Linked DNA regions of Arabidopsis thaliana. The protein of the gene in region 2 interacts with the protein of the main gene of each other region in a pairwise test. Each region holds a gene or a part of one and is shown on either strand. Other genes may lie near its edges.

Region 1 (4,760 bases), about 19 Mb from region 2:
TAATTTTTAACTTCTTCTTTCTCTCCCGTTAGAAAAATGGAGCATTCCTCTTTTACATCAATTGGTGAATTAATGAGTATCCACCACACATATGACATATACACATATTCATACATGTAAGATGTGTCATGTATGCATGTATGAGTAGTGTCATGTGTGTGCACGTACGAAGCCATACCACATATACATGCAGATATAATGCATGCATGTGTAAGAGCAGACAATATATTAAAATATCGAATGTTGACGGTGAGATGGAAAAGGAAGGTATCGTATGTCTAAGGTTTATGGATTCCACGTCCAAAAGATAAAAGGTAAAAGATAAAAGAGCCTTCACCTTCGGTGTGACCAATCAATAAATTTCTATATAAAATATATGATATCATCTTTCTTTTTTTCTGTTTCTGTTAAACGATATCTGATGATAACATTATATATCATGTACTTTAAAGTAATATTTGGAGCGTTGAAAATGACAATATTTTCTGCTTAGTAATAATTATTATTATATTCTATGCTTCTCGTAAAAGTAGTACTATATGGGGTCTTCTTTATATCTAGAGTAATTTCTTTAGCTTTCTGAAATATGATTCATATGTAGTACATAATGTGAAATCAAACATTTTAAATGAAATTATGCAATGAATGTGGTTACTAAAATGCCTCAAATGAAATTGTATCCTTTGGATTTAAACAATAAACACGATCGTTCTTATATGATTCATGAATCATTATTGTATACGAATCATTATTGTATACCTTATCAGTTGATGATTAATTTTAGTCACTTTTTATTTAGACAACGAAAGTAATTAACACGTTAGTAAGACAAATACAAATAAAGTTCTATAATATGAATCGTCAGTTTTTTATACATAGGATTCGCTTTGCAGTACTGCATTCCCTTCTCAATTTTTCTGAGTGTTTTTTTCCCCTTTTAAAGAATCATCTGAGACACTTTCGAGAATAATTTAATTCTTCTCGTTGAAAAATTGGACCGCATTAGTGGACTCTCTATTTACACTTAGAAGCTCTCTCAATTTGTTTTTGCTTCTAGTACGATCTTCTAATTAGCATGTGAATGGCCAACAAATAAACGCATGTCCAATACATCAACCGTTGCTTTCCCTTCTTTAAAGCCTGTTTAAATTAAAATATCATAATAAGCAATAATTAAGACCGCAAATTTTTAATTAACTAATATGTATCTAAAAATCAGATGGTGAGGATAATCATAAATATCATGTACTAATCATATCGCTCCAAAAAAAATGTATACTTTATCGCTATTAATCAAGAAATATGTTAAAATAAATATGTTTGGTAAGAATATGTTCTAGAAAAGCCGAACTTTTCAAGTATAAAACGTCACAATTAGAAGAAAGAAACGTCACAATTCTCTTCTTTTTTAGACAACAGGTCAGAATTTGTTTTAAAAATGTTTCTCAATCAAAGCTTTTTTCAAGGGATTTAATGTGCTATATAAAGATTAAAAAGAAAGAAATATGGAAGTAAGAGATCTAGTAGAAACAGAGCAAGTAAAGTTAAATGTTGATACATACCGTGGAGGCAGAGGAAGTGAGGGAAATAATAGAAGTTGAAGAAGTAGTTGATGTTGATGTTAATGATGACGACGATAATAAACCTACATTGTAAGTCATGGTCTCATCAGGCTGATACAATCCATAATTCCTCTCAGAGGTTGGTCCTGGTTTAAGGTCTTCATTGAAAAGAGCAAATAGATAAACATCAAAACTCAAGTTTGGTCTCAATGGCGTTCCTTCATTTTGAAGTTGTCTCCTTAGAATATTTTTGTTATAAACGGCTGCGTTGGCCACAGTGGCTCCAACCTCATCTCCATCGCCTTTAGACGGCCATCCAGTCTCCGAGACCCCAACTTCGATGTCTTTGAAGCCAAGCCTCGCCATGGCAAAGATCACAGCGTCTACTTGAGCGTAGAGCATGTTGTCATAGCGGTACTTGGTATAGGGGTCAACCATTCCAGGGTTAGGGTTGAAGAGGACGTAGTCTAATGGGATCTTTGTTGGGGAATCCTTGTAAGCGAAGTAAGGGTAAGCGTTGATCCAGAAGGGGGAATTCGTGTTACGCAAGAAACCTAGTAGCTGTGTCATTACGCCAGCTACTTCCGGCCTAAAACATCCGGCGGATGGAGGGTAAGATTCTTGAAGGACGGATAGTGAGTTCGGAGTCGATACTTGAATGTACTTGTCTAGTCCGGTTTGGACCAAAGCCCCATGAATGCTCATCATTGCAGGCATAAGATACCTGCGAATCATAGCAATAACGAGGTTGAATACTTTCTTCTTTTTTTGAACTAGAGGATCTCAGGATGATACCCACATGACTACCATGATTTGGTTAGTAGGGCATATTTGTAATGGACCAAGATTTGAAAAGGATAACAATTTATAGGAATGAGGGGATGTATGTAACAAACCCTATAAGGCTTGAGTCATCGTCAGTGTATAGTTCGTTGCCGACGGCGATACCACCGATCTTGGTGGCCGGAAAGTAGGGTTTGATACGGGTAGTGACCCATTGGAGAGCTTGTTGAGGGTCTACTAAGCTGGGAAGCATTTCATTTTCGACGGTGACAAAGAGCTCGATATTGGAATTGGCAAATGAGGTTAACACTCGAGGGTTTGTGTCATAGATTCTTGTCTTATTGATATGGAGTGAACTCAAGAGTTGTAGAACTTTGTCCGGTGGAGGAAGATTGTCGCCGACTTGACCATAGTTGATGCCAAGAGAGGAGACCCTTTGAAACAACAATCCATGTTCTGTGAAAAAAATGTAAGAGAAATTTAAATAATTAAAGTGTAATGACAAACTGAAATTGAGATAATGAATTTTGTTTGTTGGTAGACAGAAATAAGCAATTATTCAAAAACGATACCTAAGAAAGTCAAGGAAAATAGAAGAAGAACGATAGAGTTGGTCATGGCAATTCTGCTAAACATGTTAGACATGGAGAAGAGAGAAAGAGGGAGATAAAGACTGAGGGAGAAAGTGCTTGTAAGAGAATCAATGCAATGAAATGTGGGGATAGATATAGAGATGAAGAATTGAGAAATGGGACCAAGTAGGCGACGAATAATTATTAATTTATAATTTAGAGATAATACTTTACTTTGCCTGCCTTTGTTTTATGGTGAGACATAGGGTTTCTACAATAAAAGTGACAATATGATTAATTCCAAAAATAATTCAATAAGTTATTTAAATTTATACTCGTTAGTTTTGTAATGGGAGTAGGTTTGGCAATAGGTTTATCTTATGGAAGTCTATTGTAAAAATAGATAGTGTTTGCCAAAAACATTCTTTGTGAGGCAACATGGGTTTCATAAAACATTTTGGACCCAAGAAGAAAAAAATATGACATCTTAGATTGTCTCTTTCCAACACATTGCCAACTATGTCAGTCCAAAAAAAAAAAAAAATGAAAAAGTGGCCTAAAAGAAGACACTTTCTTCAGACAAAGGCAAAGGTGGGAAAAATTGAATTGCCCACTATAATAGGTTTTTAATCTTAACAATATGTCTATTAAACACAAAGAAAAAAAAAACATTATGTCTTTGGCATAGAATTTGGAGGATCCCAAATTTGGTAGTTGGGTGAACCAAAAAAATGGAACGTAAAGAGTAGAAATCACACCATCATAATGATAAGAAGGATAGTGCGCTTATCTTCAGTTTATTATATTTATATAGTATTGCAATTTGCATCTTGTGAAATAAAAGCTCTTTTAAAAAACATTGTAACGATTGTTAGAATTGTATTTCACGTGAAATTATAGTATGACCCTCAGTTAATCCTATATTTGATATTCAACGGAGTTTAGTCGCATATTTAAAACTGATCCTACGTTTCAATTCAGAATTTATATACCGTTAGCTTACATGTAAAAGTAAATATTTCTAAATTCAACCTAACTCATCTAGTCAACCCGCTCGATCACAAAAAAAATTAGGTTGCACAACGGTTCATTATTTATGTTTTAGATGAAATAAAATAAATTAATTACTCGATTAATCAATCAATGGAAAAAAACGGTTTTAAACAAGTTTACAAAAAGAAAAGTTAATCAAAGTTGATATGTAAATTTACAGCCTAATTGGCCCTAGCCAATAATTTAGTTGTCTGAAACAATTTTTTTTTTCTTTCAGTTTGATATTAAAACAATAAAAGCTCTAACTATACACCAGGTGATAATTGTAATTCAACTTCATTTTGTACAGATTTTTGGAAGTTTGGGTTGTTACTTTTCTTATAGAACGGACTTCTTACTACAGTATAACCTCTATAAATTAATAACCTTTATAAATTAATAAATTCTTCCGGTCCCGAGTTGGGACTAGTGTAAAAAATGACACAAATCGATAAATTAATAAGATAATAATTTTTTGGAAAGTTCTATGTAAATATATGGTCTCATCGATATCATAAATTAATAATTGTATAAATATATCAACTATATATATATATTATATGTAAAAAATTTCTTTAAAATATATTTATAATAATTTTTTGTTTAAATTCATATTTGTTATTTGTTTGATTATAGTTTTCATATTTTACTATACCAAAACTTTTGTTATTTGTTTAATAATGTTTTCTAGACATTATTATTATGTTTTATTTGTAACTGGTTCTAGAAATATATTTTTTATAATGAAAAAAATCTTATAAATTTTTTTAAAAAGTTACCAAATTAAGAAAATCTCTCTATAAATTAATAA
Region 2 (4,199 bases):
TGGAACAACTCACAAAACCCCTCTACAAAGCCCTGTTTAAGCACACCATCAATGAGGATTTTCCAAGCGATTTCATCATCGCAATATCCACATCGAAGCAGTTTTTCGAAAACCGAGTTGACTCTCTCTTTTTCTCCTTCTTCACACAGCTTGCAAATCAACATTTTGCAAAACTCTAGTTGTGGTGAATGACCATTACATATCATATCTTCCACAACTTTTGCAGCTTCCTCATACTTTTGCAGCTTGTAGTAACATCTAAGAAGACCATTACAAATCTTCTCACTTAACGATATTCCTCATACTGTACGCTGGTTTGGAACCAATCCACTTTCTTCCATCAAACTAAGCAATCTATATGCACTATCTAAATTACCAGAGCTACACTGTCCAGCGATCAATGTATTATAAGTTATCAAGTCTGGAACCAAATTCTGCTCTAGCATCTTACTAAGCAGTCCCATTGCTTTGTGCACATTCTTCTTACAAAAACCTTTGATCAATGCATTGTATGTAATAACATTTGGCATCAACCCATTCTCCAACATATGTTCTAGCAATCCACTTGCTTCATCAAGTGTATCTCCACTACAAAAACTCTGAATAAGCACAGTATACATACAATCATCAGGCTTAATGCCACTCTCTGACATCTGCTTAAACAAATTCATAGCTTCTGACTTCTGTCCTGATCCACACAAAGCATCTATAAGCACTGTGTATGTTCGAACATTAGGACAACAATTGTCATCTTTCATTTTCACCAATAAGCTCAAAGCTTCATCGATCTTCTTTGCTTCAAATAGACCATATATAAGCTGAGTGTAAGAAACCTCATTTCTATGGCAACCGTTCTGAGTCATCTCCTTAAAAACCTTAAAAGCCGCATCGACTTCTTTTCTTCGACAATGTCCGGTAATAAAAGAAGTATATGTGAAATAATCAGGATCACATCCAGCTTGAATAAGCCAAGTCACATACTGCTTTGCTTCTACTACATATCCAAGCTTACAATACCCATTAACCAATGTGTTAAACGTGTATATGTCTGGAGAAACCAAATCCTCCAACATTTCAGTATAAAGTCTCTTCATTTCTTCGACTAATCCAAATCTAGCTAATGAACTCAACAGATTATTGTAGCATTTAGGAGTAAGTTTATATTTAATCTCGAAGCTATCACCTTTACGCATTGTCCTACAGAAATCAACAACAAACAAAGCGTCTCGCACTGAATTGCAGCTCTTTATCATTAAGATCGTGATCTTAGGCACCTCATAAGGTATTTCCTGGCTGCAGAGAAGAGTAACCAAAGACGCGTATGAAGTAACGTTGTGCTTGAAGTTTGGTATCCGAGAGATCCAATCCGAGAAACTGAGAGCTGTCTGAGGATCAAGATTGAGTGAAAACAGAGAAGAGACATGAGAAGGTGTATAGAAGGGGTAAGAGATTTTAGAGATGGATTGTTCTGCCAATTTGGTTCGGAGACAATTGAGAGTAATCGGCATGGAAGATTAGAGGGGTTAGACTCTGCTGTTGAGATAGTACTTGTAACTTTGTAAGCAGAGATGCGGCGGTGGATAATGGCCTTCGACGGAGAAGGTAGCCGGAAGAAGTAGAAGGAGATTTGGAAGTAGTAATCTCATCGTCGGTTGATTCGACGGTAAGTTGTACTTCCAGTTCAAGCAACAGTAGGGTTTAGGGTTTATGAATCAGTGAATGCAAGCAAAACCTCAAACCCGGTACAATGCTACGTTTGGTATTCTGCATTGGTTTATTAATTAAACCCAAACTCAAGTGGCATGTACAATACTACGTCAGTTGTTTGTATAAAACGACAGCGTTTGAAACCGCGACTGGTCCGTCAGGGTATATATGTAATATATACGATAAACATGTATTTTATGGTCAATGCGAATTCCCAATTTTCCCATTTCTTAAAATCTCTTCTCGATCTCCTTTGTTTCCGATTTGCCGGTCTTCGAAGTGGAACTGTGGCAGTGACGAGCGTGAGGAGAAGATCTGATCTTTAGGGCTTTCAAGGTAACTCATCACATTCTTCTATCTGTTGATTTCTCGTTTTCCGACCAGTGGATCAATCGATCAGTTTTGTACGAATTCGTGTCTGATTATCTGTTACGGTCTTAATTTGATTGTTTAGTTTGGATTTAGAAGCATGGCAGGAGCTGTTGGAACATCAATGTTAGGGTCTCTTATTGTGTTTACAGTGATCCTCTCGCTTCAGGAAATTTACAGAGGAAAATTAGCTTCTTCAGAGCTGTTCACGATCCTTGGTGGATTCACAAGCTCTCTCCTCTTTTTGTTTTCTCTCACTGTAAGTTCCTTAGAATTCCTCAACTTGATCTCGTCTTCATGGAAATGCACTACCTTTACAACTCCAATGTTGATCTGTGTCGTTAAATTTGAGATCTTTTGTTTTCTTCTCGAATTCATCTACATTTGTTGTTGACAGTTTGGTTGATGCGGTTTCTTTTACTTTCAGTTCATTGGAAATTTTCAGGAATCTTCTGGCATCAAGAGTGGTTGGGGTGCAGGTATGTCCTTGCTTCTTCATGAAATCAAATTTGTTCATACGATCAAAACCATTGGGTGTCTACTCTACCCCATTTTGTCTTCCACTTCAGAAGTTTGAGGGCTTAAGAGTGGAATTTTTGAATCTTTGATGATGATGCTCTAAGTTTACTTTCTGATAACATATTACGAAAACTCTTACTTTTATGTGTTACAAATACTCTTTTAGTGAATCAGTTGTTGGAACCAAATTTTTTTCATTCTTATGTCTTTTTCTGTATCACCTATATAAGAATCACAGTGATAAATGGCTCGAATTTGTTTGCCCCCTCCTGCTTCTGCTGTGTGAAAGTGGGTATACTCATTACTCAACAAGGGTTTGCAATGTATTGAAGCCAATTTTTGTTTCCATGGCAGTCATTCTTGCAGAAATCATAGCTCTTATCGCTGCTGGCACGGTTCATCGGGTTTGTATCACAACCTGGTAAGTGGAAATTCACTAGTTCTACTTGGTATATCCATTTACCCTGTTTAATTACTTCATTCCTCTCTTGCTAAAAGCGGTGTGGTGATTGTGATGCTGTTTCTTGATCTGCCTGCAGTTTCCTGTTCTCTGCTGGGCTATTGTACGAGGTGAACAAGATCTCTGGATACATGCTATCCAAAACCGAGTCAAAGTCTAAGAGACACTGAACCTGATAATGGAATTGATACGGCTTATTATTCTGGACTTAGATTTGTTTGGCACTTGAAGATGCAAAAACACTTTCAACATCATGAATTGTGATACTTAGAAACCCTAAATTCAAAATCCACATCTTATGCTTGATGTGAGTATTAGGTCTGTTTCCTTTGCAGCTTATAATCATAGAGATAATCATTTTAGTTGTGTCTTATGTTCTTGGAGAAACTGAATTGTGTCTTTTGGCCTCGACATCGTATCATCCGCAACCAGACACATCAAATGGTTTGTATCATCTATATTTTAATATCTCATGTATCGAAACCGCAACAATTGCTGATTCCAATTTAAATTACAACTTTACCAAGGTAAATGGAGCCTGAGCCAAATGCTTAGGATCAGCTGTTGTTAGCGTACTAATCTGTGGTTCACAGGAAATCTAAGAAAGTCAATCACACAACGGCTCATTGACCAAAACGTTCATCTTCTCATTAAGGAACTTGAGCACATCTTCTCTCTCTTCTTTGATAAGCAGCTGTCTTAATCTACCAAACGTTACACCCGATGGTCGAATCCCCATCTCGATCATCTCCTCTAACAAAACACAAGCTTTCTGAGTGGTACGCTCCTCGCACAACCCATTAATAAGAACCGAGAATGTATGCATACTAGGGAACACCCCTTTCTTCCTCATGTATTTCCACACTTTATCCGCTGTCTCCATCTCTTTCTTTTCACAAAACATCTTGATCACCATCGTGTAAGTGTCTGCATCTGGTTCACACACTTTAATCATCTTCCTAAAGACATCAAAAGCTTCGTCTTTCTCCCCTCGTTCTATTAGATGGCGTAGAATGATGTTACATGACTTGGAGTTAGGCGTCACACCTTTACTCTTCATTTCTTTCAAAACCCTATACACATTCTTCATCCTATTTGCTTTGCAAAATGCACCGATCAATGAATTGAAAACTGCTACATCGGC
Region 3 (7,207 bases), 2.8 Mb from region 2:
ACAATATATGATTCCCTTATAACTTTTCATTTTAATTTAGTTGATTTTGTATGAAAGCTTCTTTTGGATTTTCTATTTATTAGCTAACAGTAAAAAAGCATACAAACCTATATACTAGTTATTTATTTTTGTCAAACCCCAATATATTAATTGAGTGAATAAACGTTAAAACGGAATTCAATTGTAGGTTAAATGAATGATGGAATATACAGCATGTGGCAAAGAGGTAGACACAAAATAAAGCAGTAGATATTTTTGCTTCATGCCAAATATGTTTTGGACTTGGTGTTCTAGAAGTCTAATATGATATATATATATATATATATTTTTTTTTTTTTTATGTACCCAAGAAGTCTAATATTAATATTAACAGTAATAGCAGTAGTAGCTTTTCTTTACAACATATTAGTTGGGTTGTACTCATTTACCGTCCGTAATCGATAAAGGATGAAACTATGCCTAATAACGTGATCCTCCATAGAAATGATCAATTAAAACTATACTGTTTATATTTCTATCAAGTCATAACATAGTGTATATGATATAGTTCCAAATGCAATCCATCTAACTAGATTACTTTTATGATTTTAAATATACTTGTTAGAGATGGTTTTCTGATTCCAGGCAGAGAGTATGATGACAAAGTTATAAAATAAGACAAAACTGTGAACTATATCTAACACTTCTACATAATGAAAGGTAAAATTTTATTAAATATTCTAGTTCTTACATATTATGATACATACATTGTCATAGTAATTATTCAAACAACATCGACAATCTTCTTGTTGTCCCTAAGGATAGTCTATTAAATCATTTCATCGATTTCTTCGAAGTCATCTCAACATCATCGGAGGACTTGTCCTCCTCAAAGTCTTCAATCGGTAAACCGACCTTGTACCGGTATCCCCGAGCACAATACCAAAAGTAAACCAGATTAACCACACCCAAAACCGCAATCAGATAATAGAAGTAATCCAATTTTCCCGCGTTGAGATTCTTGTTTAGCCAATCCGGACGATCATGCCCACCGGAGAATTTATGAACGACAGTCACAAGGAAACTACTAAGGTAGCTCGAACCGGCGAACGATAAAGAGAAGAGAGAGTTAGCGATACTTCTCATGTGCTCTGGAAACTGACTGTTGAAGAACTCAATTTGTCCGATGATATTGAATGCTTCACATAGTCCCATGAGAATTAGCTGCGGCGAAAGCCAAAACACCGACATTGGAGTCATTCCCGTTGGATCTCCGGCATTGATGGAGCGTATGCGTCTCATACGCTCCACAATGCCCGCAACGATCATAGAAAAGATCGCGAAAACGATCCCTGTTCCTATCCTTTGGAGGAGTGTGATTCCGGATTTATGGCCGGTGATTCGCCGCATGAATGGTACAAAAACGCGGTCGTAGAAGGGAAGAAAGATGCCGATTGTGAGGAGAGAGATGACGGAGAGTGAACCAGCCGGAATCTCGAATTTAGGACCTAAGTTTCGATCCATTTTCAAAGCTTGAGAGACCGTGAAAGTGCCTTGTGTTGTCATGGCCGCGAGTGAGATTATTCCGGCCGACCAGATAGGAACAATTCGGATCAAACACTTCACTTCTTCCACTTCTTGGACGCTGCATAACCGCCACTTGTCTGCGGGAGGTCCCTCGGGTGTTAGGTCACCTTCTATAACCACCGCGGCTTTGTCAAGACACCTAATTTTATGCCATTTCAGTTAGACTATAGGTTAATACAAAATCATGTAATCAGTGTTGTCTTAAAACCACCTTGAAAGTGATAAGCAAAAAATAAAAACAAAAATCATATATTAAGTACCTGAATTGGTTACTGCGGTGTAACTTGGATAACACGCTAGACTTGATGGCTGGGTCGTAATAGGTGACAGTGCCGTCATCTTCCGCCGGAAGTTTCAGCTTTCGCTTCTTACGAGCTGCCACGATAACTTGAGCGATCCCAGAGAATATACTTCCTTCTGGTTTAACGTAGACATAACGCTTCATTCCGGCAAAAAACATAACAACCGCAAGAGCCATGAGTCCGGTAGGGATACTAAAACCGATAATCCAACTGACTTGATCCTGGATATACACAACTACGGTCTGTGTAATGATCAGAACCACAGTGAAAGTCATGTAATACCAGTTGAAGAAACTGGCCACTCCTTTAACCCCTTCCTCAGTTCGTTGGTCAAACTGATCAACCCCAAAAGGGATGCTACAAGGTCGTATTCCTCCACTCCCTACGGAGAGGAAACAGAGTCCCAATAGCAAAACTCCGATCTGGAGCTTATTCGGACCGCCGCAACTGAGTGGGTCCTGGCTGTTGCATGATGCTGGGTGGAGTTGAGGAAACGATGCTGTGAGTGTAATTGTTATTAGTCCCTGCATGTTGTCAATGTAATTATAATCAGTCATTATTAATTTTGAAACCGATTCTTCATTATTAGATATTCTATAATATATAACTTGAAACTGAATGATTGTTAATTAATATTGAAGAAAGCAAACAGTAGTGTGGGATATATAGATTGAAGTTATGCGAACAAATACAAACAATTAATAAAGTTTACAATAGTCTTAATTAGGTTTGACTTCATATGATTGAAAAGTGATGTTACCTTGATTAGGTGAAAGTGACAGTGACGTAGAACCTAATATCATTTATTTCTGTTGTAACCCTAATATAGTAATATGAGCATTTGTAACAGTTTAAGTTCAACGTTTAACTAATTACGAAAAAGACAAAAAAGTGCAAGAGAAATTAACAAGTTGGATGCGATCATAATTCTATAATTGTGAATGAAACAGACACTAGAAAAGTAACTATTATTATATACGTAACGTCACTGTGATACTGACCAAATCTAAAACCCAACTAGCTAGCTAAATCATCAAGAAACTCAAACACTCAATTATTGGACAATCTCATTGTCAATAATCTATATTGACCACTTGCGTATCTCTTCCTTTTCTACGCACATCTCTTTATCTCTTAAACAGAACACGTTCTAATACGTAACTCCTTTATTGGAAAATGTTTCATCAATGAACAAAAGATGTTTACGTGAGATAAGTATTTTCTTACCATTTTTTTTGGATGTTATATAAATTTTCAAGGTAAATACCGACAAGAATAAGTGTACTAACTAATGCTTTTGTTCTTATGATTCACATTATTGACCGACCTTATCGTCCTCGATAGCGTGGTCCCTCAATAAGTTCATGCGTTTTCGTACGATACAAAAGTAATTTAATAGCTTTTGATATAGAAAAAAAGAGAGTAACATAATAGGTATAAAATAATATATAAAGTGTTAATACTTTGTCATTTACATATATATATACTTAATTTAATTTGTCTATACGTATTTTCTTATCATGTCCACGTGCGGGGTGAAATTATGTGCCAAGTATCATGTATCGTCGCCACACACACAAAAAAACACGTAAATTGAGTAGTAATATAGAACTTTCTATTTAGAGTTGTTATGTTTTTTGTTGGATGCAACTATTCGAACAGTGGACGCTAAAGCACTGACCCATGCTGGCAGTAGGCCGCGAATAGTTGCGGATTTGAGGTGTTAGGAACATATAAAGTAAATACTACTACGTACGTAAATGTTGTGTATTTGTAGACACATTAGATTATTTATTTTTATTTTAGTTTTTTAAAAAGATTATATAAAATTTTCAATAAGTTAAATAAAAAAATATTATACGTACGAGGAGAGTGGCGAATGAGGCGAAAGCGATGGTCTTGAAGCGGCCAACATAAGTGTCTGAGATATACGCTCCGACGAGAGGAGTGAGATTGGTGAAACCTGACCAAATGTTGATGACATTTGCAGCGTCGACTTGTTCTAAGTGAAACACTTTGGTTAGATAAACCATGAAGTTTGCCAACAATCCTATCGATCCCAGTCTCTCCAGCGTCTCATTTCCTATTCAACCCATTTTATTACAAAATATTATCAGCAAATAAATCGACAAATAATCCCTCTATTGAAGAATATCAATTATACTCCATTTTATCTAGTAATTATCATCACTAACAAAATTAATCATATTCCATTAAATAGAGAGAAATAAAATATTATAAAAATTTAAAAGTATAAAATAATTTAAAATGAAAGTTAACATTTTGGCTAAAAGAGCACTTATGATGACAAATTTTTATTCCATTTCAGTTATAAAGTCGTCAGCTAGACGAGTGTCAAACATGTTGGACCGACGGTTACGAGAGTAATATATAATATAATTTTTGATCGAGCTGAAAAGATTATGCGCTCATTTCTTTTGTTCTGACTATTATGTGCAATGATTTAGGCAGAACGTGATCTTGCAACGGCCCGTTACATCTCCCAATGATAATATATTAACTGGTTTCTAGAACTATATATCCAATTAAGGAAATTAACAAAAAAATATTAGCCAATAACTGAGGAAAGGTCAAGGATTAGGTAAACTAAATTATGTACACGAAGCCTAAAAATAAAATTAAAATACCTAAAATGAACGAGACGGCTCTCCATCCTCCAGGCTTTTTCTCTACCTTCTCAGCATCCAATATAGATCCCGGCGAACTTATCCGCTTGTAGGGATCAACAACATCCAACTCCGACGGTGACGATTTAGAGAAACTACCGGATCGTCCCGGCAAAGAAGAACCGTCCTTTCTATCCTCCAAAACCATCTCTAAGATATTACTACACTCGTGATATACTCACTTCGATTTCGGGGTGGATTTAATGTTGTGAGAATATATTCTCACTTTTTTGCAATCAAGGTAACACACATGAAGTGATTGATAAATGTAGAGAGTGGGCACAACATACAGACACTTTCTCTTTGTTAGAAGCTTTTTTGGGTGTAGTGAATTATTTGTGGAAGTGTGTATATATAAGGGAGTGAGTAGATAATATATGGTGGGTGTGGGTAAATTTGAATGACGTTCGCCACTAGTAGCCTCCACGTGAGAAGTTTGAAGAGGAAAATTAAAAGAAAACTATTTTAGTGCTATGTTTTTTTTGTTTTTCTTACACCGTACGTAACATTATTGTTTTGTTCCACGTATTGTGAACCTTCCATGTTCCATACAATTGTAACGTTAAAATACGATGTTAAATTAATGAACCATCTTTTACAGTACATTTGCATCGTAAGGGGTTGATGGATGATATTTTTTGTTCACGCGGTTTTATGTGTGTTGTCGGTCATATATATGGTATGATGTGTCTCAAAAGGACATCTAATCTTTTTTACCTAAAAATGATATGATATCTCATAAATAAGCGAGATTTTATTTTCTCTAAAGCATATTTTATTTTTATTTTCTTAAAGGAAGTGAGATTGTATCGATTTTTTCTATTAATCAATCAGTTGACTTAGTTCTACACTTTAATGATCCTGACAAAATCTTAAAATTTATATAGAACCTTTTAAAATTTTTACTATTATTGATAGAGATAAACATTTGTCACATTTATACGATTTTGACTCATGGCGATAGATTCTTCGAAGTTAAAACTCTCTTTCAAACTAGTTAATAAGAGTAGATTTTATTTACTGCTTTATACAATTCACACACTTGAAACGTCCAATATGTCATCTTGGCATACAATTGCTTGTTGAGAGTCGTTCAATTGGTAAACAAATAAATAAAACTCAAAACGTACATACCAACATGATCTAATATTTTTGCACAAAAAGTCATCGCACTCTAAGATGAACCTTAAACTATTTTGGGTTGCAATCAAACAAAGAAACACATATCACCAAAATTTAATATAATAAAGTTAGAAACAATAGTACACATATAGAGCTGGCCTTAAAACTTTGGAAGCTCATACCAAAAAATAAAATAAAAAAATGACATATCACCAATTAATACATTGAGATGAATTTGTGCAGGAAGTGATTAAATTTCGAACCCACTTAATCCTCCTAAAAATATTAACAGAATTTCCGAGAAAGAAACTAATTCTATTTATTCGTATATAATTTTATACGATTGCTCGAATGTGTGGTACATATGTTTATCTAGATGTTGAGTTGAGAAATTCCATGTCTAGATATTTTTCAATTCTAAATTTTCATTGATTTATTGTAGAAAAAAATATTAATCAACCACTTCAACTTCAAAACAATTCGCATCATTTTTTTTTCTCAATGTAAAATATATATTATATATAGAAACAATGAAAATCTTCACAAGAAATGAACATTAATAATAAAATTATCATTGAATGTTTATGTTAAAGGAAAGATTAAGTCCAACCAAACTTGTAAAATTCAAATTGAACACAAACATAAAAATCGGTGAGTGAAGACAGAAACAGAAAGAGAAATACGATAAGATGAGGTAGGCTTTTATCGCCTTTTAGGCAAATGCAAGTGCCTAACACTGTCGCATGCGCGAGCCATCAAATTTCTACGCAAACCCTCTTTGTCTTTTCTTCTTTATTAATTTTTTTTTGTTTGGACCTTTACGTGGGATCCTATACCGTATCACCGTTCGATTTTATGGTCATATTATTGTACACCGTTCGATCATCTTATCTCTCTTCACCATTCTCAATGGTCAGATGATATGAACCGTGGACTGGGTGCCTAAGGTTTGGACTGCTTTTACTAATCTGTCTCAATATGCTGAGCTGTGTGGTGCGGGTCACTATCAAACATATGCATTTTAATGGTCATGATCGAATAACGAAAAATGTATATGGAGTTTGATAGATAACTCCAACTCTTAGAAAGCTCACTTTTTCTATTTTGTATTTGAGAGGATCATATCTACCGACTTCATATGGTTATACTAAGAGATATTTATATAATATCCTCTTATAAAGTATACCATAATTACTTACTAAAGCATGTTAAATGTGGGAATACATTTTTGACCCTGCTGAAAGAAACATAATTATTAATCATTTCTTAAGTTACTATCTCAAGTATGTTATAGGAAAATATTTGCACCTACATATATAAACATTTGATCATTTTTTTGTAGTATATACTGTTAGATTGAATTCAGGTTTTTGATATAAAAGTCGATTTTTTATAATCCAGTTGTGCATAACAAATTCATCTTTTTTTTCTTTTTTTGGGGAGTTAGATGAAATAAGTGGGATTTCAAGATCGTATCCATTGTGATATATTTAGAGTCCTAAGCAAATCTAAATATAGGTTTTCATGATT

What was found. Proteins that work in one complex are often made in the same cells at the same time.
Region 1: the proteins of AT1G77350 (region 2) and AT1G30080 interact in a protein complementation assay, tested with the Arabidopsis thaliana proteins (one large-scale study listed by BioGRID).
Region 3: the proteins of AT1G77350 (region 2) and NRT1.7 interact in a protein complementation assay, tested with the Arabidopsis thaliana proteins (one large-scale study listed by BioGRID).

The regions. Positions count from the first base shown.
Region 1 is NC_003070.9:10,550,178-10,554,937, forward strand, and holds AT1G30080 (Glycosyl hydrolase superfamily protein), read right to left. Parts: upstream 3,119-4,760; 5' UTR 2,991-3,118; coding exon 2,918-2,990; intron 2,802-2,917; coding exon 2,459-2,801; intron 2,287-2,458; coding exon 1,563-2,286; coding exon of another isoform or gene 1,545-1,562; exon of another isoform or gene 1,141-1,544; coding exon 1,054-1,140; 3' UTR 678-1,053; downstream 1-677.
Region 2 is NC_003070.9:29,068,321-29,072,519, forward strand, and holds AT1G77350 (keratinocyte-associated-like protein), read left to right. Parts: upstream 1-1,904; 5' UTR 1,905-2,043; intron 2,044-2,161; 5' UTR 2,162-2,176; coding exon 2,177-2,335; intron 2,336-2,503; coding exon 2,504-2,555; intron 2,556-2,949; coding exon 2,950-3,016; intron 3,017-3,134; coding exon 3,135-3,225; 3' UTR 3,226-3,579; downstream 3,580-4,199. Other genes in the region: AT1G77340 (Pentatricopeptide repeat (PPR) superfamily protein), read right to left, coding at 300-1,508; APPR6 (Tetratricopeptide repeat (TPR)-like superfamily protein), read right to left, coding at 3,663-4,199.
Region 3 is NC_003070.9:26,313,704-26,320,910, reverse strand, and holds NRT1.7 (nitrate transporter 1.7), read right to left. Parts: upstream 5,125-7,207; 5' UTR 4,704-5,124; coding exon 4,517-4,703; intron 3,952-4,516; coding exon 3,734-3,951; intron 2,393-3,733; coding exon 1,827-2,392; intron 1,706-1,826; coding exon 814-1,705; 3' UTR 678-813; downstream 1-677. UniProt on the Arabidopsis thaliana protein: Low-affinity proton-dependent nitrate transporter. Not involved in dipeptides transport, but has a weak glucosinolate transport activity. Involved in phloem loading and nitrate remobilization from the older leaves to other tissues.